4 linked regions of the Lytechinus pictus genome follow. The protein of the gene in region 3 binds, or shares a complex with, the protein of the main gene of each other region. Links are inferred from orthologs where the notes say so. Each region holds a gene or a part of one and is shown on either strand. Other genes may lie near its edges.

The links.
Region 1: leucine-rich repeat-containing protein 23-like (region 3) and nucleoside diphosphate kinase homolog 5-like share a complex: the UniProt entries of both Homo sapiens proteins name them as parts of the axonemal radial spoke complex. The link is inferred for Lytechinus pictus from reciprocal best matches to the Homo sapiens genes LRRC23 and NME5.
Region 2: leucine-rich repeat-containing protein 23-like (region 3) and ropporin-1-like protein share a complex: the UniProt entries of both Homo sapiens proteins name them as parts of the axonemal radial spoke complex. The link is inferred for Lytechinus pictus from reciprocal best matches to the Homo sapiens genes LRRC23 and ROPN1L.
Region 4: leucine-rich repeat-containing protein 23-like (region 3) and DPY30 domain-containing protein 1-like share a complex: the UniProt entries of both Homo sapiens proteins name them as parts of the axonemal radial spoke complex. The link is inferred for Lytechinus pictus from reciprocal best matches to the Homo sapiens genes LRRC23 and DYDC1.

The regions. Positions count from the first base shown.
Region 1 is NC_087262.1:20,226,906-20,234,418, forward strand, and holds the start of nucleoside diphosphate kinase homolog 5-like, read left to right. Parts: upstream 1-4,506; 5' UTR 4,507-4,602; coding exon 4,603-4,749; intron 4,750-7,513. UniProt on the Homo sapiens protein: Functions as part of axonemal radial spoke complexes that play an important part in the motility of sperm and cilia. Does not seem to have nucleoside diphosphate kinase (NDPK) activity.
Region 2 is NC_087253.1:25,059,269-25,066,594, reverse strand, and holds the start of ropporin-1-like protein, read right to left. Parts: upstream 3,022-7,326; 5' UTR 2,934-3,021; intron 1,631-2,933; 5' UTR 1,610-1,630; coding exon 1,470-1,609; intron 73-1,469; coding exon 1-72. Other genes in the region: patatin-like phospholipase domain-containing protein 4, read right to left, coding at 5,993-6,361, 6,785-6,850. UniProt on the Homo sapiens protein: Functions as part of axonemal radial spoke complexes that play an important part in the motility of sperm and cilia. Important for male fertility.
Region 3 is NC_087258.1:18,346,244-18,353,150, reverse strand, and holds the start of leucine-rich repeat-containing protein 23-like, read right to left. Parts: upstream 3,030-6,907; 5' UTR 2,750-3,029; coding exon 2,627-2,749; intron 254-2,626; coding exon 141-253; intron 1-140. UniProt on the Homo sapiens protein: Essential for sperm motility and male fertility. Plays an important role in the proper assembly of the third radial spoke (RS3) head and the bridge structure between RS2 and RS3 in the sperm flagella.
Region 4 is NC_087262.1:9,009,064-9,016,051, forward strand, and holds the start of DPY30 domain-containing protein 1-like, read right to left. Parts: upstream 3,004-6,988; 5' UTR 2,842-3,003; intron 1-2,841. UniProt on the Homo sapiens protein: Functions as part of axonemal radial spoke complexes that play an important part in the motility of sperm and cilia. Plays a crucial role during acrosome biogenesis.

The sequences.
Region 1 (7,513 bases), on a different chromosome or scaffold from region 3:
AATGTGAATATAATGGATTAATTTCTTTTTTGGGGGAATCATGCATGGATATATAAATATTTATCAACTTTTGACCTTTGACTTTGGATATTGGATAATTCTGTATGATTATTTTAGTTTTTTTTATCTTCTTGCAAAAATTGCTTTTTGACATCAAAATCACCAACATGCAGCATTTTATCTCAAAGATACCTTTATACGATATATAGCCTATGTAAAAAGGTCACTGACCTTTGACCTTGAACTTTATGGGTTAGTATGCATTCTAGGTGATTAATTTTATTTTATTTGACCTTCCTGTAAGAATCTGTGCATTTTGACACCAAGATCACCAACCTGCGCCTTTTCATCTGAGAGATAGCATTATACCGAATATGGTATATAATGTAGAAAAAAGGTAATTGACCTTTGAAAGGCTTTGACCTTGAATTTTATTGTTTAATGTGCATTCTGGGTAATTAATTTGATTTTATTTGATCTTCCTATAAGAACCTCTGCATTTTGACACCTAGATCACCAACCTGCACCTTTTCATCTCAGAGATACCATTATACCGTATAAGGTATATAATGTAATAAAGGTCATTGAACTTTGAAAGGCTTTGACCTTGAATTTCATGGGTGAATGAGCATTGTAGGTACTTGATTTGATTTTATTTGATCTTCTTGTAAGAATCTGTGCATTTTGACACTATGATCACCAACCTGTAATATTTTATCTGGGAGATACCATGATACAGTATATTTAAAAAGGTCATCGACCTTTGACCTTGAAAAAAAGCACTTTCCCCAACCCGTATTCCTCCTAACTTTTTTTTGGTAAATGTTGACACCCATACCTACTCAAATCAGTCAAAAAACCATTTCCAATAATTTTATTCCAGTTGGTTACTAATTACGGGATACTAGTATCCCTAAATTAGACCCCAAAAGAGCCAATCTGGAATAAAATTATTGGAAATGGTTTTTTGACTGATTTGAGTAGGTATGGGTGTCAACATTTACCAAAAAAAAGTTAGGAGGAATACGGGTTGGGGAAAGTGCTTTTTTTCAAGGTCAAAGGTCAATGACCTTTTCGTATCTCTGAGATGGAAAGGCGCAGGTTGGTGATAATGGTGTCAAAATGCACAAATTCTTACCAGAATATCAAATAGAATAAACTTAAGTACCTAGAATGCACATTCACCAATAAAATTCAAGATCAAAGCCTTTCAAAAAGTCAATGACCTTTTTTACATTATATACCATACCGTATAATGGTATCTCTGAGATGATAAGGTACATGCTGGTGATCATGGTATCAAAATGTACAGATTCTTACAAGAAGATCAAATAAAATAAACTTAAGTACCTAGAATGCACATTCACCAATAAAATTCAAGGTCAAAGCTTTTCAAAGGTCAATGACCTATTTACATTATATACCATACTGTATAATGGTATCCCTGAGATGAAAAAGCACAGGTTGGTGATCATGGTGTCAAAATGCATAGATTCTTTCCAGAAGATCAAATGGAATAAAATTAAGTACCTAGAATGCACATTCACGCATAAAATTTAAGGCCAAAGGTCAATGACCTTTTATATTACATATGTATCTCTAAGGTAAAACGGTGCAGCTGTTCTTGGTGTCAAAACACGCATATTCTTACAGGAAGATAAAATAAAATTATGCATCGAGAATGCACATTCACCCATAAAATTCAAGGACAAAGGTCAATGTCCTTTTTAACATTAGATAATAATAATGGTATCTCTGAGATAAAACACCGCAGGTTGGTGATCTTGGTGCCAAAATCCAAAGACTTGTACAAGAAGATTAAACAACACTAAAATAAGTATAAAGAATAAACTTTCACCCTTGAAATCCTAGATCAGAGGAAATATATAATCTATATGATATAAAAATAACCAAAAACAATATCTTTTGTGTTCATATTTTATATCTGAATAATGTAAATAACCATGGCTAATTTGTAATGAAAACATGGAGGTTTCATAATTTCGGTCTGAAATAATGAAGGCCATGGAGAATGTATTTAGGGGTCAGAGGTCAATGAGCCCTTTCCAAAATATCAGTGGAAATTAAGTTTAAAAAGTTGATAACCAAATAACACTTTTTCATATACTGCGATGCATTGCCAAAAGCACTGAAAAAATAAATGAAATCAAGTATATAATTTGAAATGATTTTTATCTTAAGTAGCAACATTTAATGCATCATTATATCTAAACCAATGTTGTCGTGTCTTTTCTCTCCAGCGATAGGCCACTCACATCAATGCTATAATAAATACTATAAACTATTAGCTTAATCTTCTGAAAATGGATAGGACAGGTCTAACTCTCATGTCACAGCTAGCATCTTCTGAGAGCATTTCCAAACAGCAGAGGGATGATGATGATGATGAAATGAAGGCCATCATTAGAGCTGCAGCTTCTGTCATATACATGTAGTAAATTATATATATATCAACTTCAACAAAGGTGAATTCCCGTATAATTAGTATCTTTCATCAGTTCATTGCGAGCTGCCAGAATATCTTGTGATGCTAATGCTGCAAGACAAAACTTCATATCTGCTCTCTGCCGTACGTCACCCATGATGCTATTTCTACTAGGTATCAGTTTGTACAAGGATCATGTTTTTGGTCCAGAACAACTGATTGTTATCATGTACAAATGTGGCATATAACAATGCAATTCAAAAGGAGATAATAGCTTACAAGTACACATCCATCGACCTAACAAAACTCCTACAGCACCACTTCCAGTTCTTGAGAATCAAGATGTGCAATTATCAGTAATAATATAGATCCTGGTCTGATATCCCTTGACAGAACGTTAGGCTTTCATTGAATGGGCCAGATCAAAGTCTTGAAAATGTCAGAAGGTTTTCAAGAGTTCAATTACTCTTTGCTGAAGTTGAGACACTTAACTTCATCTATGACAAAAAAAGCTGCAGCTCTAATGATTGCCTTATTTTAATTCTTCGTCATTGTCCCTGGCTATATGAAAATGTTCTCGGATGATGCTTGTCATAAGACTTAGGCCTATCCTTTCCATTTACAGATTAAGTTATAGTGTTATAGTATTGATTGTAGCATTTGAGGTTAGTGACCTATTGCTACAGAGAAATTAGTACCTTGATTTAGATTTATAAAATGCATATCTAAATGCTTTTTTTTACACTTTTGTCAATGCATTACAGTATATTATTAAAAAAAGTGCTATTTGATCCAATTTTACCTCGAACTTGTATTTTGACATCATCATTGGTCAAGGATTCAACTATTAAATTTGTGTTCTTTTTCCACGCAGGTCAGTCTTTTTCCCATCTGAATCACTATACCTACGTGCCACAATCACGTTATATCGACCTATTTACTTAAATTCCCTGACACTATTGACATAGTTGATTGACCTTTAACTCCTAAATATATTTTCCATGGCCATTTTATATCCTTATTTCTTTCAGAGTGAAATTATTAGACTTCCAAATGTTCATTACAAATAGTTATCTTTCTTTCTATTATTCACAAATAAAATGTGAATATAATGGATTAATTTCTTTTTTGGGGGAATCATGCATGGATATATAAATATTTATCAACTTTTGACCTTTGACTTTGGATATTGGATAATTCTGTATGATTATTTTAGTTTTTTTTATCTTCTTGCAAAAATTGCTTTTTGACATCAAAATCACCAACATGCAGCATTTTATCTCAAAGATACCTTTATACGATATATAGCCTATGTAAAAAGGTCACTGACCTTTGACCTTGAACTTTATGGGTTAGTATGCATTCTAGGTGATTAATTTTATTTTATTTGACCTTCCTGTAAGAATCTGTGCATTTTGACACCAAGATCACCAACCTGCGCCTTTTCATCTGAGAGATAGCATTATACCGAATATGGTATATAATGTAGAAAAAAGGTAATTGACCTTTGAAAGGCTTTGACCTTGAATTTTATTGTTTAATGTGCATTCTGGGTAATTAATTTGATTTTATTTGATCTTCCTATAAGAACCTCTGCATTTTGACACCTAGATCACCAACCTGCACCTTTTCATCTCAGAGATACCATTATACCGTATAAGGTATATAATGTAATAAAGGTCATTGAACTTTGAAAGGCTTTGACCTTGAATTTCATGGGTGAATGAGCATTGTAGGTACTTGATTTGATTTTATTTGATCTTCTTGTAAGAATCTGTGCATTTTGACACTATGATCACCAACCTGTAATATTTTATCTGGGAGATACCATGATACAGTATATTTAAAAAGGTCATCGACCTTTGACCTTGAAAAAAAGCACTTTCCCCAACCCGTATTCCTCCTAACTTTTTTTTGGTAAATGTTGACACCCATACCTACTCAAATCAGTCAAAAAACCATTTCCAATAATTTTATTCCAGTTGGTTACTAATTACGGGATACTATAGTATATCTCTATGCTATCAACCTTGTCCTTGTACGATAATCACCTCGAACTTAATGAACGCAGAGGGCGCTTTATATTTTGTTACTTGGCAACAGAAGCAGCTGACATCGAGATTTCGTGGGCTAATATTCTCTGAAAAATCACCAAAATGCCTCAAAACGACATAGAGAACAGAATGATGGAGCCTCCTCAGGTCTATGTAGAAAGGACTCTTGCACTTATAAAACCAGATGCAATCGACAGAGCAGTCGAAATCGAGGAAATTATCCTGCAGTCGGGTTTCACTATTTTGCAGGTAAAATTATCAATATCACAGTCCCAGATACTGCAGAATGTGTCATGTTCCCTGTGGTTGCTGTGTCGTGATTGAGCTGAGTGACTGTGTGTGTCCTTTTGTTGGTTTGTCTTCAATCATGTTTTGTCGAATTGCATTTAACAAACCTTCTTCGAATAATTTTCCATCAAATACTCAGTTTGTTTCTTTAAACTAGGCCTTAACCTAGTTAAGTTCTAGGTAGGAATAGCCCTAGGCCCCTATTCCTTGTCTTTAGTTGTCGGGTCAACTCGGACCACGGGACATCTCGGACCGCGGGCCGAGTTGTCCCACCCATTACGAGATTTTTTTTTCACAAATCTGCGTCTATTTTTCCGTCATTTCGTAATTTCTTGTAAAGATTTTCTAGAGATATGGTCTGATGGTAATGACTAATGTTCTTCACTTTCTATTACTTTTTTTTCGCTGAAATAAAAAAAAAGTGTAATTTTAGGCGTTTTTCGACAGCTCGCGATTCCCATAGGCGCGCGTGTATTAACTGTGTCGGTGCTCGGCTCGGCCCCGCTCAACAACTGACTTGATTTTGTGATCATTTATCCTCAAGTTACCACTTTTATCGCAGAAGATGGACATTCTTGTATTCCATTAACTCCATTTTCTCATCACAAGAATAAAATTTGGTGCATTTGCACGATTTTGTTAAAGTTTTTCACCTTTTCTCTCTGGTCGCAAGAAGCGAACAACCGATGAACGGTCCGCTGCTCTTCATCGCAATTCTACGTAGCTCGGCCGCCTAAACTGGCGGGGTGGGATTCAGCCCGAATCCCCAATGGAAGTGGGCGTGCGCAGTCAAAGAGCTGAGCTTGACTGAGTGAGAGAGTGAACTAGAGCTTGAAGCTTGGCAGTGTCGTATAGGTTCTGCCTTTTTTTTGTATATATTTATAAGCCTATATATTTTTTTTATTTTTTCTATTTTTATTTTCCCTGGTGTAGAGCTTTAAGATAATAATTTAATATACTTCAATTTCTTTGACTGAGTGTGACTGTGGTGTGGATGTTTGAGTCGCACAAAAAATACTTTTACGATCAGTGTGGGGGCTCGGGGCGATTTCACTCCTGCCCCCGAAATGTGAAAAAATATTCGCAGTGTAGATGTGTGGGTATGCCGGGCTGAGGGTAGCCATCAATAATAAATGTTTATTTGGGGGCTTAATTTTTAACTTCAAATTGATTATTTTTAGGCCTATTTTTTTTTTCATTTTATTTTATTTTTTTATGTTGAGTGTCCCTGGTGTAGAGAGCTGAGTTTTAAGTTGTAATAATCAATATGCTTCAATTTCTTTGACTTTGAGTGTGACTGTGGTGTGGATGTTTGAGTCGCACAAAAAATACTTTTACGTGGATGGGGGCTCGGAGCCTCTTCACTCCTGCCCCCGAAATGTGAAAATGTTCTAGGTGTATCTGTGTGGGCATGCCAATTTCATTTTTATTTTTTATATTGAGTTTCCCTGGTGTAGAGAGCCGAGTTTTGGAGATGGTGAGAGGGGCGAGGATGTGAGGGATGGCGATGATGAGGGGTGGGCCTTGATGATGAGAGGGACGAGGAGGTGAGAGATGGTGATGATGAGAGGGATGATAATTTTTGATGACTCTTAATGAGAAGGGGGGGGGGGTGATGAGAGGGATAAAGGTAATGAAAGAGATGGAGATGAGGATGATGAAACGGACGAGGATGTGAGGGATGGCGATGATGAGGGATGGGCCTCGATGATGAGAGGGACGAGGAGGTGAGGGATGGCAATGATAAGAGGGATGGGGATGATGACTCTTGATGAGAGGGGTGCATGGAGATGGTGAGAGGGACAAGGGTGTGAGGGATGGGGATGATTATGGGAGGAAATCCCAGGGGGGGACGTGTCCCCCTACCAAAAATAGTAAAGGGACACAATATCAAATGTCCACCCTACTATTTTTCTTCTTGTATGATGGAGAACAAAATAATACATCATTCACAATTGAAATAATACATGTATTTAGGACTAAATTAATGACCTTATATTTGTGAAAACCCCCTTTTTTTTCTTGTCAATTATTTTTGGGTTATAAAATGACCCTACATTTTGGGCGATAACCTTTTTTTTTAATGCTTGTCAAATTTTCCAGCCCCAGGTCCCCCCTGGGGACAGATTTCCGCCCATGGGGATGATGATAGGGACGAGGATGATGATAGGGATGAGGATGATGGAGAGGGAAGGTGAAAAGCCGGCAGAGATGGATTTAAGAGAAAAATTCCGTCCGACGAATGCAGTCATGAAGATTCCGTCCCACATGATAACCCAAAATTATGGCTTGATTTTTGTTCTAAATCATGTTATGTGATGAAAATCACACTAGGCCCTACACGTATTTTGGTTATATTGAAAGAAAATAGGGGTAATATTTTTTCCAATTATCAATAAATTAAATTCTTCATTCAATAAAAATGACGAATTTATGATTTTGAATTTCATTTCTTTTATATAGCATGTGGTTTTTCTTTTTTATTAAATTTATTTTACTTTATTTTTCATCACTGTATCATGATTTTTGTCTCACCTGGATAGCAGAGTGAGACTATAGGCGCCGCTTTTCCGACGGCAGCGTCAACATCAAATCTTAACCGAATAAGTTTCTGAAATGACAGCATAACTTAGAAAGTATTTGGACATAGTTCATGAAACTTGGACATAAGATTAATCAAGTATCACTGAACATCCTGCAGCGAGTTTCAGGTCACATGACCAAG
Region 2 (7,326 bases), on a different chromosome or scaffold from region 3:
TGTGTGGCCATGGGCATCTCAAGCCTTTCCTTCACTGGGGGTGTCTCCCCATTGGCAAGGGCATGAAAATATCTGCAAAATAGGAACACACAAATGTTTTTTTCATGCGGAAATCTAAGGGGAAAAGCTATCTGTAACAACAACTAAATATTCATAAATGAGGACAAGTCTATGAGGACAAAAGGCTGTATTCTAAGCTCTGGTTTTACTGAAAGTATGAATCAATTATCTCAGTCTTGCAAACCTTGTGGATACTGGGTAGCCAATAAATTAAAAGCTAAAAATCTTTTTAAGACACTGGGTAACGACAACGATTCCGGGTTAACTGCAATTTAAACTGGGTCAAAAGTGGGGCTGCCAAGAAAATAACTTTGGTTATTGCTCAGCAAAACAAACATTTTGGGAATTTTAGGCAAATGGTTTTCTGCTCACAATATGCTGTTTTTAAATTGAAAGAACTTAATTTCATAATTGTTACCCCATTTCAGAAGTACCCAGTTGTCGTATGTCAAGACAGGTTGTTTTAGAGGACAAGTCTACCCCAACAAACAGTTAATTTTTTATAATAAAAAGAGAAAAATCCAACAAGCATAACACTGAAAATTTCATCAAAATCAGATGTAAATTAAGAAAGTTATTAGATTTTAAAGTTTTGCATAATTTTACAAAACAGTTATATGCACATCCTGGTTTGTATGCAAATGAGGAGACTGATGACATCATCCACTCCTATTTCTTTTGTATGTTATCATATGAAATATTTTTATTTTCTCCTCATTGTCATTTGTCAAGTGAAAGAATGATTAATTCCTCCCTGAACATGAGGAGTTGGCCTTGTTTAATACTATATGGTTCAGTCAAGTTGGTCCTTATTGTCAAATCTGTAAAAAATAAAATATTGTATAATTCAAACAGTAAAAAACAAAAAAAATAGTGAGTGAGGGACATCATTGTTTGTCTCATTTGCATATATGTCACCGAGTTGTGCATATCAATCTTTTATGAAAAATAACAAAAGTTTAAAGTGTCATAACTTTCTTATTTTACATCCGATTTTGATGAAATTTTCAATGTTATGCAAGTTTGATTTTTCTCCATTTATTCAAATCAACATTTTTCTGTGATGGAGTTAATTGAGCATTAAATCCTGGGAACGTCGTGATTAATATTTCATAAATTGTTTGAAAGCAATGTAATGTAAGACAACATTACAAATATAAACTATTAGAATTATTTATATTAATGCATGCATGTCAAGAATTTACTGCTATAAAAAAATGACATCAATATAAGTATCCAGACACTGCCCCATCCTAAAATCCTGGGTCGGATTTCATAAAGAAATGTTATCAAAACATATGCACTTTTCCTGTAACAAATTTACTATTATATGGAAGGATTTCAGTATCTGTTGTTGCCCAAATTTTTCATAAAAATTTTTACGAAACAGGCCACTGATTTGGACTTACGCTGCTGACCACTGAAGGACATCAGCCGGCTGGGTCCTGATGGCAGACTTGGTGAACTGCTTCATGATATCAGGTAGGTCAGGGGGAATGTTTATCTGCTGTGAGCAGTACATAGGTACGTCATCACCTACTCCTGGCATCTTGATTCTTATTTTGCGAGTCTGTAGAATGAGAGAAAGGGGAATTTTTTTAATCAAGTGGGGAGGCTTGAGTCTTTGAGTAGGGTGTCTGAAGCCACACTGAAAAGTGTCAGCATAAAACAGGCTGATTTAGGGGAAAATATGGCACATTTTTTTCGGGGAAGTTCAGGCTACTAGAAAAATGTGATCTGAATTGATTATTAACTTGTGTTTGGCATGTATGGAAAGAGAAAATTCAGGGGCTTCTTTTGACAGTAAGGACAAGTTTATAGGATCATTTTAAATAAGGATTTAGAGATAAATTGCAAACCCTTATTTTTGTGTGTGTTGAGATTGCCATTTCTCCATGCGTTTTCTATGGGAAAATGAAATTTCTGTTTTGCACAATTTTTTTCACTTTGTCGCAATTTTTCATTGTGATCTGGTTTCCAAATCTTTATAAAAATCATACCATCAGATAGAGCATAAAAAATCCTATTGGACTCTTTATGGACAAGTTTTTGGCATTAATAATAAATTTATAACAGCTCTCGGAAGCTAAAAATTCGGATTTGTGTGTGTCCATTTCTTAACTACACAGTCTATGGCAGAGAAATGCTGAAAATTTACCTAATTTCATTCTTCTTTTTTGCATCCAATAATTTGATTTTTTTCAAAAATGTTACATTTCTGTCAGTCTGAAGGTCATTTCCCCTCAAATTCACAAAGAAAATGTGATATTTTCTTGAAATAAGAAAAATATTTTTTTTCTCCAGACACCCTACTTTGAGAAATGGGAAGAAAAAGAGAAAGTAAAAAAGGAATAGATCTAGGTGCAGGAGGAAGATAAATAAAATGGACAAGAACAAGACTGGAGAGGTAAAAAAGATTTGCATGACGAAAGAGAACAAGGGGGAGAAGAGCCAACTCATTTTGCAATTTTCTCTCTTTCTTTTCTGTTTCTCACATCTCTGTTCTTGAGAGTGAGACGTTTTACTTTTAGTTTAGACGTCGAACTCCACTGACTCACGACCAGATTTTGTCATGAATTAACTCACCAACACAACAAACATAAGAATCGTTAAAGATACATATGAATATCACTTAGTCTTAACTTACATTTTACAAGAGAAAAACAAACCGACACAATAGAAATCATTCTGGGTCAAAAATCCAACACGAAATTCTATGTATGGGACTACACAAATAAATTTACTCGAAACTGGGAAAACTAATCACACATAAAATGCAACTTTTTGCAATAAAGCAAACATACAGAAACCTAGGAATGAGAAGACTTATTATTTCTTACTATTTTTAGAACAAATTCCTAAAATATACTTACGTGACGGAAGAAATATGTAGGATTCTAGATTGGAAAAAGATTCTTGATTGACCAGCGTTGACAAGGCAACATAGAATTTCACGCATGCGCAGAATCGTCAGTGTCTCAAACTTTTTCTTTTCGATCTAAAAAGTATCTCGCCGCCGCGCGCCCACGGATATTTTTCCGTGGCTAATGGACAAAATAAGTATCGGAAGGGGGGGGGTGTTGGGCAGGGCGACTTTGAAAATAGTAAAAAGAGAAGGGAGAAGAAAAAAAGGGGGGGAAGGAATTGCGTGGGCTTGGTCATATAGGCCTGCAAAATTAATATATTTTAATGAACTTCAACTGAAAATTAAATCATCGCCCCCAAACTAACCCTAATGCGCCCCCCGGGAGGAAGCTAGATCCTACAAAATATGTTTGTCGGGAGGCCGGCCGGGTGCAGAAAATGTGAACGGGGCAAAACTGAAGATTGGTGCAATAAACAGAACGGTCTTATTTTCTGTAATAATTTTCGTCCTAAATTAAAGGACAAGTCCACCCAAACAAAAAGTTGATTAAAAAAAAGAGAAAAATCCAACAAGCATAACGCTAAAATTTCATCGAAATCGGATGTAAAATAAGAAAGTTATGATATTTTAAAGTTTTGCTTAATATATCACAAAACAGTTATATGCACATCCTGGCGGGTATGCAAAAGAGGAGACTGATGACGTCATCCACTCACTATTTCTTTTGTATTTTATTATATGAAATAGGGAATATTCTATTTTTTCTCCTTATTGTCAAGTGAAACAACGATTAATTCCTTCCTGAACATGTTGAACGAGCATTGTTTAATACTATATGATTCAGTCAAGTTGGTCCTTATTGTCAAATCAATAAAAAATGAAATATTGTATAATTCAAACAATAAAAAACAAAAGAAATAGTAAGTGAGGGACATCATCGACTTTCTCATTTGGGTTGTGCATATCACTGTTTTGTGAAAAATAAGCAAAACTTTAAAGTGTCATAACTTTCTTTTTTTACATCAAATTTTGATGAAATTTCCAGTTTTTTGCTAGTTTGATTTTTCTCTATTTATTCAAATCAACATTTTTCTGGGGTGGACATGACCTTTAATAGCAATATTGATCTGTTTACTTATGCATATAAAGATGGTGTGGGAAAGCACCATCTTTCTCCATATTTTCTATTCTCCGTTTTTATTTTTTATAAATATATTGATTTAGCACTGAATATGGCTTTCTTAACATATTAATTATAATTATTGCCATTATTATTGTGACATTCTTTTGAACATTTGGTAGGCAAATGTTTTTTAAGGCTTGACTTTGTCTGAGTCAGTGCATAATAGGCAGGAATGGTGCTAAAATGGGGCAGAGCACATGTGACTACCCAACTTATACATAGAGGAGAAAAATAAGAAAAAAAGAATGAAATGAATGAATAAATAAATGATAATAATAACAATAATAATAATAATAAAAATTAGAAGAAGAAGAAGAAAAGAGGGTATGTTTAATTATATAATTTTATTGTTGAAAAAAAATAGACGCTCCCATTTAGTAGGTTTGCCCTTCCCCGATAAATAAATTTAAAACAACTATGATGGAAATCTTGGTTTGGTCTATAATGTCCATATAAACCCATCCTGTCTTCCCCTCACCTCTCTGGCCGATCCCCCTCTCACACTCTCCCTCTCTCTCTCTTTTCTAACCTCCCCCCCCCCCTCCTCTCTTTCTATTCATCCGCCCTCTCTCCCTCGCTCTTATTTTAACTCTATCTCTCACTTTTCTCTGTTCTAACCTTTCCCTCTCTCATTTTTTCCCCGACCTCTCTCACGGACACACCCATCCTCACATGCACATTCTAATATCCCCCTTTCTAACCTTCTCCCCCCCCTCTCTCTCTCTTCCTCGCCCCTCACTCTCCCTGTCTGTCTGTTTATCTCTCACCTTTTGTAACCTTTCCCTCTCTCTCTCCCCCGCCCCCTACTCTCTCTCTCACTCTTCCTGTCTGTCTGTTTATCTCTCCCCTTTTGTAACCTTTCCCTAGCTCTCCCCCTCTCTTCCTTGGTCCTCTCCTTCTCTCCCCTCTCTCTCTTTCTCTCCCTCTCTCACATTCTTTCTGTCTCTGTCAACCTGTCGCCCCCTTTTCTCCTTTCAATTCAATTCAATTCAATTTATTTTCCACATCTTGAGTAAAAAAAAATATATTAGTACAAACAAAATACATACATACAAATATAAATAGTTACAATATAAAGACATAAGAAAATCAAAATGTGAATGGGATTGAAAAATGCCATATTGATCGATCAACGTCAACCCCAATGAGAAAATAAATGAAAATAGATAATCTAAAAATATAGTCACAATTCAATCATTATCATAAAAATTATGTTTTTATTTGCACAAAACATGGCATACATTAAAGGAAGGGGGGATCGACTTTACAAAGTGTCGGAAAGTGTACAGTAAAAACAAATTAATTTTCATTGTAGAAATGGTCTTATAGGGGATTTTTTTAAATTTAGATTCACAATAACCAGCATACTTAATTCGTAAAAATTATACTTTATTATCTTATTGCTCGAATATCATCTCCTAATTTCAAATCTGACAGAGTAGAACGAGATTTACGACCAGCAGACGACATATGCTACAGGAAATTGCCTTATGGTAAATGCTTTTTCCACCATGCATGACAGTTGCCAGAAGGAGCAGAGCTTTCGCCCAATAATTGGTGGTTAGTGATGTTTTACCTGATTGCCAAGAAATTAGCATAATGCTTGTAAGCAAGTAATCAGAGGACCGACGGCTTAAGGTCTACCGGCGATCGAGGGACCTGGTAATGAGGATTATATAGGCCTAATTTCTCGATGGTAAACCTATTTCATTTTCCCCAATGACGGGCCAATATATATCTCTTTTATAGGCATTTCCGAAGCTTTTCCTAAAGTCTGGTATCAGAAAATTATTCCATGAAAGCTCGTGACACCCGGATCTGACTATAACCGGAAATCCAAACCCTGACGATTCGATGGTTGTTGTATCCATGGTGATTTGTCCTCACCGAAGATCCTCAACCGAATGAATAGCAGCATACGAGTCCCGATGAGGTTTATAACCTTTCCCGTTCTCCTCGTAAATATGATACAACTTCAAAAACCTAGTCGCATCTTCGTACCCGTCCGCAAAATAGGTCTCAAGATAGGCCTTTGGGGGCGGGAAAAGCCCATCCCCAATCCGGTACATCTGCAGCGCGCTGATGTCGAACCGCTGACCGGTTGTGTCCACCCAACCGCAAGCGATCTTGTCCCGCATCCGGAGGCGGTTTTTCGGATTTGGCGAGATCTTGATCAGATTGCCTGATGGGAATTGAAAGGTCACGTCGGTAGAGAGGTTCTCCTTCCGGGACAGGGTGACGTCACCAAGGAACTGCAAGGGGGAGGGGTAATACAGTTGAACACGCAAAAAACTATTAGTCAACTGACGGGTCCAGATATGATGAAAAGTTAATTCCTTACAATAGATTAAGCAAAATGAAAAAACAAATCTTTAACAATATGGAGGTGGGGGGGGGTTGAACCTTGAGTTTATCAGAGCAACATGATACTTAACATTCAATTTTCAAAACTATCAAATCGATATTATTTGCTGTGGAGTTCTTCTTTTATTTCTTGGGTTGGAGGTGTTTGTCAATATATCGCCCCGTTGTAAGAAATGACTTGAATTATCTAAAACAAAGAGGTGGTATTATAGCAATATGAGATGAAAGACAACTTTATCCCCCAAACGGGTGTCAAATGAGATCACTTGGATGCTGATAATAATAACAAGAGTTAAAAAAAAAAATCCTACCTTGCCGTCTATAGAGGGCGGTGTCCACGTTGTGAACCAAGGAACGAAGACACTCCCAAGGATAACCTGTAACGAAATAAAATAAACAAAAGCAAACGTTTAAAAAGATGTTAAATGCCTATATTCACTACTGTATTATACGAAACAAGCAGGTGCTCGATTAGTGAGAGATAACGATAACGATAAATTTTTTTCAAGGAAGAAAGAGCGAGGAAAAAAATATATAGTAGGAATTGATATATCAGTGTAGATGATCCAGGAATTATGACAGGGAGGGGGCACTTTTTCCCCTCCCCACCCCATCCAAAAAATGACAACAACAAATTAAATGTTATCAGCATTTTCACGTTATGATCACTTTGAAAAGAAGAAAAAAAAATGTTTAAGGGACACATGCCCCCATTTTAACAGGAACCACGCCTGGGTTCAAGACTATATTTTCTTTCCCAATTCAAACATGATACAAAGGACCATAAACCAAATACAAATTCACGAATGAACATTATTACACACAAAAAAATAATTATTGGACTTTGCAAGAA
Region 3 (6,907 bases):
CAAGCATGTTGTTACATGTAGGCCTATATGTTATTACCTTTCACGTTCATTCATATCAATTATGATTAAATATTTGGAAAGAGAACAGCTTTGTCCATGGGTCAGTTCACACTGGAAAAAAAAATTGCCAGATAACATACCTCTCTTTCACGTCTAGTCTGACATAAGCATGTGCTAAGCCATTTCCAGTTTTGCAGAGTAAAGAAAGATTCTCTGCTATCACTTCTTCTGTTAAAAGAACCTCTGGAATTTTCTGAAAAGTCAACGAGAATATAACAACGGATTATATTTCTAACCGATCCTTACATCTTTCATTAAATAACTCCCTTCAACATCTTAATCAAATGATTGGCTGAGTGCGGTCATGTTTGGTTTGTTTATTTATTTATTCGTTCATTTATCCATCTATTTATTCATTTAGTTACACGTATACAGTGCATCCCACAAGAAATAAAACCAAAATTTGTTGATGATTTATCATAACTTAATCACAAATATAATAGACAATTTACCTTTCATTGTAAAGCCTAGAGTCTCATCTTTCATCTGGAATGATGCAGATGATTCTTTATTCACGCATGAGTGAGCAAAATCAAGTTTAATAAAGGATACCAAAAAGTGACTTACCGGGCGGTGTCTGAGTTTCAAAAAGAAAATCAATTTTAATAAAGGATCATATCAATATCTGCACTTTAATTATAACAGAAAATAACAGAAAATGATCGAGAAATAACAAAGTTCTGTTAATTTGAAATAATGCTTGAATTCCAGTAATTTCATAAAAATGAAGAGGTTTAACAGGCTAGCTGTCATACTGACTGGACACTCTGTTTTGTCGACGATCAGCCACGCATGAAGTCTTTTGTTAACAGTGCGATAGCTTTGGTGGGAAACCGGCAAAAACATGTTTTTTCAAACAAAATGCAAGCATTGTTTCAAAGAAACAGAACTTTGTTATTTCTTGACAATTTTCTGCGATTGAGGTATCGGATTAAAGAGCAGCTATTGAATTTTTTTTTTCTTTTTGAAATTCAGATATCCCCAGCCAAGTCACTTTTGTGGTATCCTTTACTCACTCCACTGCACTGTATATTTATTTTTATTACTTTCTGTATCTTTGTGGGGGCTTTTTTCAGTTTGATGATGATGAAAAAGCTGTTTTGGAGCACTTTGCAGCTATAGTAGGATGCTTATGACATTTACCCCGTGCCTCCCCCTTGGTGCCGCCACTGGTCTGGGGCGGAGCCCCAGAACCTGGTGATATTCTTAACATTGCAGATGGCCACTTTTTTTTATCAAGTTGCGGATACATAGACAACAGATATCAACTTCAACAAAGTTGTGGATAATAAACGAAATATTCTGAAGCAGCACAATATAGCAATGTGGTAAATTTGTAAAGTCGGCTTTAGAAATTTAGCCAAAATAAACATTAAGAGGCTTTTTACGTTGGACCGGAGTTATTGATAAAAATCCTCTGGATGATCGAGAAATCTTTCATCCAAGACATTTTCACCTGAGCTGACGGTTTTTCTAGCAAGTTGCCATCTTGAATGACGTCATTATCGTTATTAACTTTTTAATGTCTCGATATATCGAATGTCGTCTGCTACCTGTGATCGTAGCGGTTTAGCTCGCATGTGGAGCAGATCGCATAATTAATTAATATCGAAAGCAATATCGATATCACATTCGTAAATTGTTGATGCACTCTCCGTTCGTTTGTAAATATCTCATATTTTGGCTGCAATTTTGGGATTGATTCTGGTGTCCAAGTCGCAAGTAAACATCGGTAAAGTACCATTTTCATACCTTTTAATCTATTTCGTTGAAAGTTATTCATTGATTATATATGAAAGATTGATATCTAGTAGTTTATAAATCTTTAGAGTATAAATTCGATGTAAAAAAGCATATCGAAGTGTGGACAGTTAATCGGCAAAAGGGAGGATGAGATACCACATGCGAGCTCACACTAACACACTACCGTCACTTTTTCTGCGTATCCACTGGATCTCGCAGTTCTCCAGGACTGGAGGAAATCAACAGAAGAAGAAGGTGAATGGGGATGATAGTAAAATGTCAGAAATTGTTGAATAAATCCCCAGAAACGACGATTATTCCTGTCTAGCTATAGTGCAGCCACCATTAGGGGTGTTAACAATGCAAAATCCCCCCCGACGGGGCTTAATTATCGATTTTTGTCTTTATTTCATAAAAATACATAAAAAGAACTGTACAAAAATAAAGATTATTATTCTGTTTTGGCCTGAGTGAAATGCACAAAAACGGGGAAAAATAAACTTAAATTAGGGCCTAGGGGAAAAAACAGTGACTTACTTCGGCTGTCGCGCAACTTCACTTCCCTGTTTTATCCGAACGTAATAATACATAAACATATGGCCATTGAGTCCCCTGTACAGATCGCGCTAGAACTTTGGTCTCTGAGACTCTGTATTTGGTGAGTGGAGCCAACGGAGTTCAGCGGAACAACCAACATAACAGAGACCGAAGCTTTTGGTCTACGACGACTACGACTAGCGGCATTGATTGGAGATCCCACCCAGACTTTCCCGTATAAATTTTGCTAGTAATCGCACTCGTCGCACCGTACCGGTAGGCCTACCTCTTCTTCTTCCTGTTCTTGTTCATTTCCTTCTTCTTCATCCCCTCCTTCTTCTTGGCCGATCTCAGGTTCATCAACCCCTTCTTGATCCTCGTCGTACTCTTGATCGTCGTAATCTGACATTTTAAAATCTCTCAAATTCGTCCTAAATTTGTGATTTTGTGTATTAATCTCACAGAGATAGCAGCGTTGCTTTGGAAACTGCACAGCTTGAGTGTACGAGGTTGAAATAATGTTTTCCTTATGATTGTTCTATTTATAAACTACATCATTAGAAAAATCTTTTTAAAATAATTTTAATCAAAAAAATTTAGAGTAAAAATCCTTGTATAAAAAAGAAGATTAAATCTTTAATTTCTGAATCTCTAAACGTGATCGGATTAGGCTCGTTCGATATCGATCCGAGTCAAAAAATAATCGTGAACGAGTACCAAACGAGTGGATTGAAAAAGAGGAGAACGTCAAAAAGCAGACAAGCCAGCCCATAGTTTTAGTCACATTCGGTACGTATAATTCATTGAAATCTGTAATTCTACATATTAATGGTGTGATAAACAGCTGTTAGTCATAACTGAATGATGCATTGAGAATTTCATTGATTGTCATTTTAGAGGGTGTATCTTGGATGACCCGTGGTGAACAATTTATTTCGACCATATTTCTCGTGAGTCGTGTTTTGTGTGGATTGCGTGTGGGTGCAATGCAGAGCCAGTGAACCGTGCAGTGAGCGCCATCTCTATCGGGGCAGATGTCGCGCAGCGCTGCCCTGGATGTGGTGGTATTTTGATTGTGCATGGACTGCTAAGTGCATGCTCTAGCTGCTTGTGATGATGGGTTAGTGATAAATATGAGTTGAAACAAGTGAAAAGTGCATTAAGTGCATCCTAGTACCTCTCTCTCGCAGTTCCTCCGCTGTTCGGAGATCGATAAAAGAAAAAATACCAATGAGGTCATGGGCATGGCATGACGATGTACTATTATTGTTAACCAATAACAATTAACATGAATAAAAAGTTGCATTGCAGAAAAGAAGATGCTAAGTAATTTTATTAATGTAGTTTCCCACTGGTCACGGCTGACGTCGCTTGGCTTCACCGTAATTTTTATATGGACTGAAGTTAGCAACCAAAATCGTGTGAACATGCGGCAAACAAACGGGTGAGCTGCTGCAACCAAATCTTATGGTCGCTTACAATGTACTTCAGTCTATATCAAAATTACGGCGTAGGCGTAGCCAAGCGAAGCTATGTTTGACTGAGAATTCGAACGATAACGTCGGGATTGGAGCCGAAATAATACAGCTGTTCCCGATCGTGATATTTGGAAAAATGGTGGGCATATTGCTTTATTAGGGACAGTGATTTTCCGTTTCAAAAAATTGCCTTTTCCGTTTCAGAAAATCTCAAATTCCATTTCAGCATGTCAGAAAACGGAAATTCCGTTTCCCCATAGACTTTGTACACATGGAAAAGTGACAATTCCGTTTACACATTCAATAGCAAAATCACAACACGCACACTCGCACTGGTCAAAATTTGTATCTGCTACTGTACCAACAACACAATAAAATCCGTTCTAATCGGATCTATGCGGGTGCATAAAATATTTTTACACACCCATTTTGCATGCATACATCCTCACCTTTCATATTATTAGCATTATTTCACGGTGAAATGATATTTCATCGATAATTTTGGGGGTTTTTGGACATCGTTATCATCAGTCAACGGCTTTTCCCTAATCCGCCATCTTGGATTTTAAGACCACGATATCGTGCTGTTACATCTTCAAACGTAGAGGGCAGCAACACACGACCGTGTACATGTAGTTGAACGATATGTGTGCATGTGAAGCCCAACCCGGCCGGCCGGGTACGGGTACGGTGCGGGGTACAAACGAGTGTGCTGATGTCGAGTGCAGTCACGATGTGTGAATTGTCATGATAGTAGCGAAGTGAGATCGTGTTTTCTGGGGTTTTTTGGCCATTTAATATTCTCATTTTGCTGTGATTTTGGAGTAATTTCTGTTGCTATTCTGTGTATTTTGAGGGAAAATACGTTTTCCGTGATTTTCCGTTTGAAATGCCACTTTCCGTTTCAAAAGGCCCTTTCCGTGAATTCCGTCCGTTTTCCGCGATCGCGGAAAATCACTGTCCCTACTTTATATTGACCTCGAAATGTGACTAAGAGACTTTTCTGTGACATTCGTGAATAATTACTGGTGGGGAGATTTGCTTGATGTCGGCTAGTGGTGCCTGGTGCGAAACTGCATTAGCGCCGAGAAGGCAGAGCTCGGCTCAGGCAGCTTAGCTCAGTCATGACTCGTGTGGATGTCCTGGATGCAGTCAAGAATTGTCATGATCGTGGGGGTATCTGTTGGCTTAAAATGACAAAGTCGCTATTAGACCTATACAAATAAAACAAAAGTTTCTACTTACACTTACATTGGACCTTAAGTCTACTCTATCATCTTGAAAGGCATACCAATATTCCTCTTTTCCATATTAAAATTAAAAAGAGACAAAATTGGCATCCAGTCAATGAGTCAGTCTGTCCATGTATTGACAGAGATGGTTGATTTTAATAGATCCAGACTTTCCCATCTCATGTTATAAGATGTCTATAACTTTAAGAGAATTTTGTTATGAACATAAAGCATGATGTCTGGCAGCGGAGCTCCCCGAGTCAACCAGTTTCTGATTTTTGTGGCAGTAGAGCTCAGGATTGAATCATAATCATAACTCAGGCAGCTCTGCCGCCGGAGACGGCATAGCTCAGATAGATGCAGTAAATTGCAGGGGATACGCGTTTGTAAAAAGCGTCTAGTTTTGAATTGAATAAAAACAAAACAAAAGTTTTCACTTACAATTCTATACTCTATCATCTTGCAATTTCGACCCATCAGCCTGTGATTCCAAGTTCTTGTCCATTCAAAAATAGAAAATATTTGACATCCTATCATGGCAAAGAACTCAGAGTCGTGAATTGATGGGCTGGAATTGCAAGATGACAGAGTAAAGAATCGATGGACTGTAAGTACAAACTTTTATTTTATTTGTATTAATTGAAAAAAAATAGACTACATCCCGATGGTTACCTCTGCAAGTCTTGACCTCATCTAGGTATATGAGCTGTGCTGTCTAAAGGTGACAGAGCTCCCTTAGTTAAAGGACAAGTCCACCCCAACAAAGACTTGATTTAAATAAAAAGATAAAAATTCAACAAGCATAACACTGAAAATTTCATCAAAATCGGATGTAAAATAAGAAAGTTATGACATTTTAAAGTTTCGCTTCATTTCACAAAACAGTTATATGCACATCAGGGTCGGTATGCAAATGAGGGAACTGATGACGTCATCCACTCACTATTTCTTTTGTATTTTATTATATGAAATATGAAATATTTTTATTTTCTCGTCATTGTCATGTGAAATGAAGTTTCATTCCTCCCTGAACACGTGGAATTCCATTATTTTAACATTTTGTGCTTTAGGCAAGGAGGTCCTAATCATCAAATTCGTAAAAATTGAAATATTGTATAATTCAAACAATAAAAAACTAAAGAAATAGTGAGTGAGTGACATCATCGACTCTCTCATTTGGATGTAACTGGCTTGTTCATATAACTGTTTTGTTAAAAATAAGCGAAACTTTGAAATGTCATAACTTTCTTATTTTACATCCGATTTTAATGAAATTTTCAGCATTGTGCTTGTCTGATTTTTCTCTATTGATTCAAATCAACATTTTTCTGTGGTGGACTTGACCTTTAAGGTAGAACATGCCTGTCTGTAAAACCCAAGCAAATTGCTCACAAAATGCAGTGACCTACACTTTTGAAGACTTTAGCAATCAACAAAAACGCAATGACCAACTAATGAAGAGCTCTCTGAATATAAAAATTGAAAAATTCACAAACCACTTACTGACAAGGTGAACGGTTATCAATTCAGATCTCTAGTCATGAATACAAAATTTCTCCCAACTTGTCATGAGTATGTACAACCGAGCTGCTGACGTAAATGTAATTTGTATAATTTCACAAAATGGTATACAGAATCTAATAAAATGAGATTGTGTTGTCTTTTTCCATTATGTTCCAAAGGAATATGGAAGAAATTATGTAATTGCTGAAAAATTAGCAAAATAAGCATGAGATTTTCCAAGCAGTAAAATACACTGTCCCACATGTGCTTATCTGTGTTGGTGACCTACAGTGTGATTGTTTTCAGCTTAGATTTCATGATTTCACTCATTTTTGTTTATGTAACCATACCAAT
Region 4 (6,988 bases), on a different chromosome or scaffold from region 3:
CACAGTTTAGGTAGAGAGTGGTTGTTTGAGTTTGCTTCTAATGGATCCATCGCTGAAAGAGTATATGACCTGGCCTGTGGACATGACATACCCCGGCAGTATACATCCTCCAGCTAGGATCGAACAGAGCGCTCTGCAACGGTACCTTTGCATCGCTTCCGAGCTTCAACCAGGCCATCGAAGTACTCCATGATCCATTATTAAGGTTAGACTTAGTAGTTAGTAGTTTATAGCGTAAGTTAGGCCACGATACAACATCTGGGGGGCGTTTCATCAACATTTTTGTCCGACAAGTTGTCAGATCTGACAACTTTTCTGGATTTTGATTGGCTGAGAAGCACTGTTACTATGGTAACTGTCGGATAAAATGGGAGTTGTCGGATAAAACATCTGTCAAGTCCTTTCATGAAACGCTCCCCTGCTTAACTAGTCTGAAACAATAACTTTGGGCATCTAGATCTTAGATGGTTTACTTGCTGTGGTTGTCTTGCTTGCACTTAGACTCTCGATTGATCTGTTTTTTGTTTTTTTTGTAACTATTGTATTTCGTTGCAATTTTGTTGCTGAATATTAATTAAAACAATTCACAGATGGGGAAGAAAGAAGTGACTTTGTAATTATGGAGAGTACAGCGTGAATTCAAGATCCCGCGAATATGTTTTGAAGCCGCCAAGCATGAATTATTAATCCTGCGAAAATAACAGCGTTTACAGTAAATGGGCTAGAACTTAATTTCCGACATTTATATAATATCCATTTTATTTTTAAACAAATATTCATTAAGAAATTTCTAGAAATATATTTGAGAAGACAGGAAAAAACTTGCCGACATCTATGTAGCCAAATCTTGCTTTCTTTGTTAGTAGCTAAGCTATGAGACACCTAAAGAGGGCGGCAGACTCTATTTGCAGCTTAGCTACTAACAAGAAAGCAACATGGCTATGTAAACATTGGCAAGTTTTTTCCCCATCTTCTAAAAATATATTTCTCGTTTTTATTTAATGAACATTTGTTTAAAAATGAAATTGATATTCTATAAATGTGGAAAATGAAGTTCTAGCCCATTTTCATGATTTAGGGTTAGATCTTTCACAGGGAAAGTACTTAGTAGAAATCTAGTCCAGTCCGTACTCACCATCGGTACAGAGAGCTCTAAAAGTCGCATTGCGTAAAAATCACAATTTACCGATAAAAGTGTACAGTTCAATTGACATTTACCGGACAAAGATGGTGGAACTAGAAAACCGAATCAGTTGGAACAGCCCCGTGTGCCCGACAGTTTATTATTTTTTCCGACAGTCTGCAGTCCAGTTTTTGTTTTCCCCTTTCTCTTAAACTCTTTCTTCTTTTTCCCCTTCCCCCTTTTTTTCTCTTTCCTTTTTCCTCTTCTTTTTTCTTTCCCTTTTTTCGCTTCCTTTTTTTTTTGCTTTGTGACTCGTCAGGGGGGGGGGAGAGTCTGCCCCTGCCCCCCCTTAGGTACGCTAGTGACCATACTGCATGCTCGCATAGTACGTGTGCATGTGGTAGTTAACTTTACTGAATGCACGAAGCCATATCGTAGATTAATAATCTATCATTAGGCCCTCTCATTAAGTTTGTTTGACATGCTGTACTTTATTTCTGAGCTCTACAGAATTTCTGTGCTCTACAGAATTTCTGACATAAATTATGTGTTCTCTATTTTTGACGAGCTCGCGCTATTCGCGATGGACTATAATTCAGTCATTTTGTTTACTTTTGCGGTTGTCTGTATTTCTGTTGTTGTTTATGTTTCTGAAGTTTTCTTTAATTCTGAGGTTGTCTATATTTATGAGGTTGTCTTTATTTCTCTGATGGCTGCCTATATTTCTGAAAATGTCTTTATTTCTCAAACCGTTAATTTGGGCACTTTTGGCCGCCCATAGGGACTGTGTCTGTGTTCTCTTCCCGGAGTAGAGCAAAAGCTTCGGTCTCTGTTATGTTAGTTGTTCCACTGAACTCCGTTGGCTCCACTCACCAAATACAGAGACCGAAGTTCTAGCTCGATCTGTACAGGGGACTCATGGCCATATGTTTACATGTATGTTTTACTATGTATTAAGTTCGGATAAAACAGGTAGGGCCTAAGTGAAGTTGCGCACTTGCGCGAGAGCGGAAGTAAGTCACTGTTTTTTCCCCTTTTGAGTTTATTTTTCCCCGTTTTGGTGCATTACAGGCCAAAACGGAATATTAATCTTTAATTTGGTACCGTAGATTTAGTTCTTTTTATATAATTTTATGAAATAAAATTAAATGAAATAAATTTTATGAAATAAAATTAAAGACAAAAATCGACGAGCCCCGTCTGGGGGGATTTTGCATTGTTAACCCCCTAAATGGTGGCTGCACGATAGAGAGCTGTCTGTGTAAGAGGAGAAATTTAAAAAAAAAAATTAATGTTAAAAAACTCGAAACAGACGGCTGCCTGTGCCAGCTGTCTTACTCTGACTCTCTGTCGTATTAGTGTCTATTCCCGCGGAATTTGGAAACATGTCACATTGATCTGTTGATACTGATACTGATAGACCATCAACTCGGTTGCCTGGGTTAGTACCTACATCATGTACATGTAACTAGCCGTCTCACATTAGGGCTTAGCATAGGCCTAGATCTAATTCTAGATTACTCTAGTCTAGACAATTATCTCAGTCATATTTATCGAACGATGGATTGAACTAGACTCGACGATCGACAGGCTTCAAGTCAACCTTACACAAAACTGCGCATATGGGGCCGAGTAACGAATGCTTTATTTTGATGTTCCGGTATAAGAACCGTCTACAATAAAATAATTTACACTTTTTATAAAATGAAAACACTTACAATCAAAACAATATATTTCACAGTTTTATGATAGCTTCCCTTTGATATAATCACTTCTAAGATGGAATTATGGTTTGATTTATATTCCGTTGCCAAGACAAAACAATTTCTGTAATCACAACAACAATTACTCGTTTCCAACCAACGTAGAGGGCGGTATGTAAACATTGAAGCGGAATTCGAGACAAAATTGCTAGTAATTTATTGTTCTCGATGTAACCTTTCAATAATTTTTCCACTTTCGGTTTAAGGACGTTCCACAGTTAAAGTGAAATCCATGTCATTTTCACCAAACTTTGCACATAGATACTTTAGAACCTTAATATTCGAAATATGCAAAAATTAACATAGGTCCATGTGCTTGATTTTTTGCTATAGAGCTTCAAAGTTCACCCAAATTGATGTTCTTAAAAATTGCGCATTCAAAAGAATTTGGCATTTTTAGACCACCCAAGATTACTACAATGAGTTTAAACCTCTATTACTCAGTCAAAATACATGAAAAAGTCATCAAATTTCGCAAGAGAGTTAATAATTGTATCGTTAGAATGGAGAATCTATTTATAGTGCTATTTGTTTGCAATTTTAAGTTTAACAGCACTGCCATTTCTTAAAAATTGCATAAAAGATAACAAAATCCCAATCTAAAAAATGTGAAATTTCAGTTACAAACTACAAACGTACAATAAATGCTGCACTTTATTCAAAATCCATGTCATTTTCACCAAAATTTGCAGAGTTGTAGAAGAAGGTATACCTAAGCGGTACAAACATTAAAAAATAGGGGTTCATGTGCTTGTTTTTAAACTATCATCATTTTTATTAGAGCAAATGTGCTTTTTAAAACACCAAAAATGCGCCGAATGCGTTGTATCTATGTGAAGAAAAAATCAAAACCACTCTACCATTTATTCAAACTCGGGGTAATATTCGTGATTCTTGGCAGCACTGCAGAGTAAAGTATTTTGAAATTGTAGAGAATGTTTTTTTGAATGGTCCATGGAATAATTCCACTTTATAGCTTCATGAAATAACACATCGGATCTGCAGTTAAAGTGCAGAAGATGAGAAAAATCAGCTCATACCCGCAGCTAATTAATCACCTGTTCATCCATTGTGACGTCAGCGCGCAGAGTGTAAACTATGCGCAGATCATAATGCGCACAAACATAACTGTGGAACGTCCTTAATATAATTTTAACGATGAATTTAAACTAGTCAGGGGCGAATCCAGCTTTCGCCGAAAAGGGGCCCAACATTTTGTTGACCTATATTACCCCGATTGGCCGCTCAAAGAGACTTTTGTTTATTTCTCTGTAGGGGTAGTCCTAACAGACACTTCTTAATTAGCTTTATTCTTATTAAACAACATACTAGTAATCTCATAAGCCCTACTTGAAGCGCGAGCAAAAAATTTATATCGTGATATGAAAAAGATTTTTCGAATTTTCCAGTCTTCCCCTCACCTTATTTTATTCACTAGCTTCCTCCTCTTATTTTTCCTTTTCTCGGCCTCCCCCTTTCTTTCCCCTTCTTTCTTCTTTTTTTTGCTCAGCCAGTGGGGGGCTGGATCCGCCTATGGTAGAGCATCTCCGGCCCTCACGGCTTAACGAATGAGATTGAGGATCTTGTCTCCTTGTCTTCTCGTCCTAAATAGGTCGACTTGACGAGATTGAGGATCTTGTCTTCTCATCTGCTCGTCCTGAGTCGACTTCAGTTGACGAGATCAGTCTTCTCATCCTAAATAAGTCGACATGACGAGATAATGTATCTTGTCTTCTTGTCTATATTCGCGCTTAATTAAGTAGACTTGACAAGATTGAGGATCTCGTTTTTTGTCTTCTTTCCTCGTCTTCTTGTCATCTTTTCACGTCTTCTCATCTAGTTTTCTGGGGGCACGTCTAACCTTCCGACGTATAGTAGCTCCATGTATCCGTTTGCGTGATGCGGATTGGCTCGAATTGGCTCCAATCACCAACAAACTTCAAGTTTCATGTTTAACTCCCGGTTACTTTGTGTATATAATTTTCTTTCTTCCCCCCCCCCCCATGATTTCGATTCTTTTACATAGCGTGTAGTTTGTCTTTTTAATTAATCCTTCATTGTCAATGTTTCATGATTGTTATATGTATTTTTGTATGTACAGGGCTCTCTCGAAAAACAGTGTATACTTTATGTAATGAAGAGACCACCCTATTTAGAATATAAATGAATACATTTGTTACTTTGCTTCTGTAATTATTTTGTAACTGTCGATGTTGATTTGTATATTTATTTTAAAAAAGCAACTATAGGCCTGATTATGTTTACTTATTGGAAACAATTTTTTCTTTTATGCTTATTGCTATTTAATGAAACCATTCCTTATCGCAGAAACCATACGAAACACTATGGATAGAGAAAGACAGTAAAAATCTAGGATAAACTGGAATATGTTCATGTTTATGTTTTACGTCAGGTGACATTATCTTTTTGAAATTTTCCCCTCTCTCCAACTATTAAGCGCATATATATAGTCCAGAGACGGTCTCATGTTTAGGCCAAGTACAAGACCTGGAAAAGTTGTTAAATACAAGTTTTTTTGTTGATTTGTAATCTAGATGGGTATTGAAGTAAATTCAGCTTAGTTGCCACCTTGGAAACCTTGAGCAATTTTTTAATTAGACTAATAAGCATAATCATCTAATTAGCATATATGTAATACGCTACTTCTCTTAAATCAGAAAGACTTTAAAAAAATAAATTATATCATTTTTCGAAGAAGTCCCGTGACGAGGAATCGATACATAATTTTTTTTAAATATTTAGGTTATGCAATTATCGTAATCAGCCAAATTAGCATAATGGGCTAATCAGCGTTTACAAGTGTACATACGTATTTATGGATGTCTATCGAGAAAACGCCCAATACGTATAGGTAATGCTGCTGCTGCAACCCTCCTATGGTTTTCTATGGCGAGGAATTCATTTATGACATTATTTTTCAATTTTAACCAATATAATAGCTGTAATTAACATAATTAGCATGCACTAATTAACATAATGTGTGATATGTAGATTTAATCGTCAAAGTGCTGTCTACAACGGCCTGAAAACATATATAATACAGCTCTTCTAATGATTTCGATGTTGATGAATTCATTTATGACAGTGATTTTCCCTTTTAACCAATGACAATGTCTTAATTAGAATAATTAACATAATGCATTAATTACCATAATGTGCAATATATACATGCATATGTATACATATATATATATATATATATTGTGAAAGAAATGGATGAAGAGAACATTGTATAGGCGTAGCTTAAATCAAGGTTCCCTAGAGCTATCTACCCTTTTGGAAAAAAAATGATATGTCGAATAATGTCTCTGCCGGGAATCGAACCCGGGCCCCCAGCTTTGATATATATAAATATATATATATATATATAATGTATTTCTTTGTCATTTTACATCGAGAATGCCCCAAAACATGAATAATACAACTATTCCATATGACGAGGAATTCATTTATTATTAGCATAATAAGCTTATTAACATATATGAACAATAAAATTACATATGAATATACATTCCTTTGTCATTATATATCAAGAATGCCCGAAAACATGAATAATACAGCTATCCTATGATTTTCTATGACGAGGAATTCTTTTGTGACATTATTTTTTTCAATTTTTTTTTATTTTGCCAAATGCGCTAATACATATGTGAAATATATATATTCCATTGTCATTTTATATTGAGAATGCCTCAAAGAAGTTAATACAGCTATCCTATGGTTTTCAATGATGATGATTTCTTTTGTGACATTATTTTTCCGATTTAACAAACATTATTGTTTTAATTAAGCATGATGTGCAAATTAACATATCTGAGCAATATAATTACCTATAAATATATATTCCTTTGTCATTTTATATCGAGAATGCCAAAAAACACTAATTATACGGCTATTTCATAGTTTTCTATGACAAGAAATTCATCTATAACATTATATTTCGCTTTTAACAATGTTAATGTTAAATTAGCGTAATGAGCTAATTAAAGTGGAACGAATCTGGCAGTCTCGCCTGCATTATGCGATTTTATATAGCAGCAATTTTGGCTATGAAAACAGCTATTGAATAAAATATTCACAA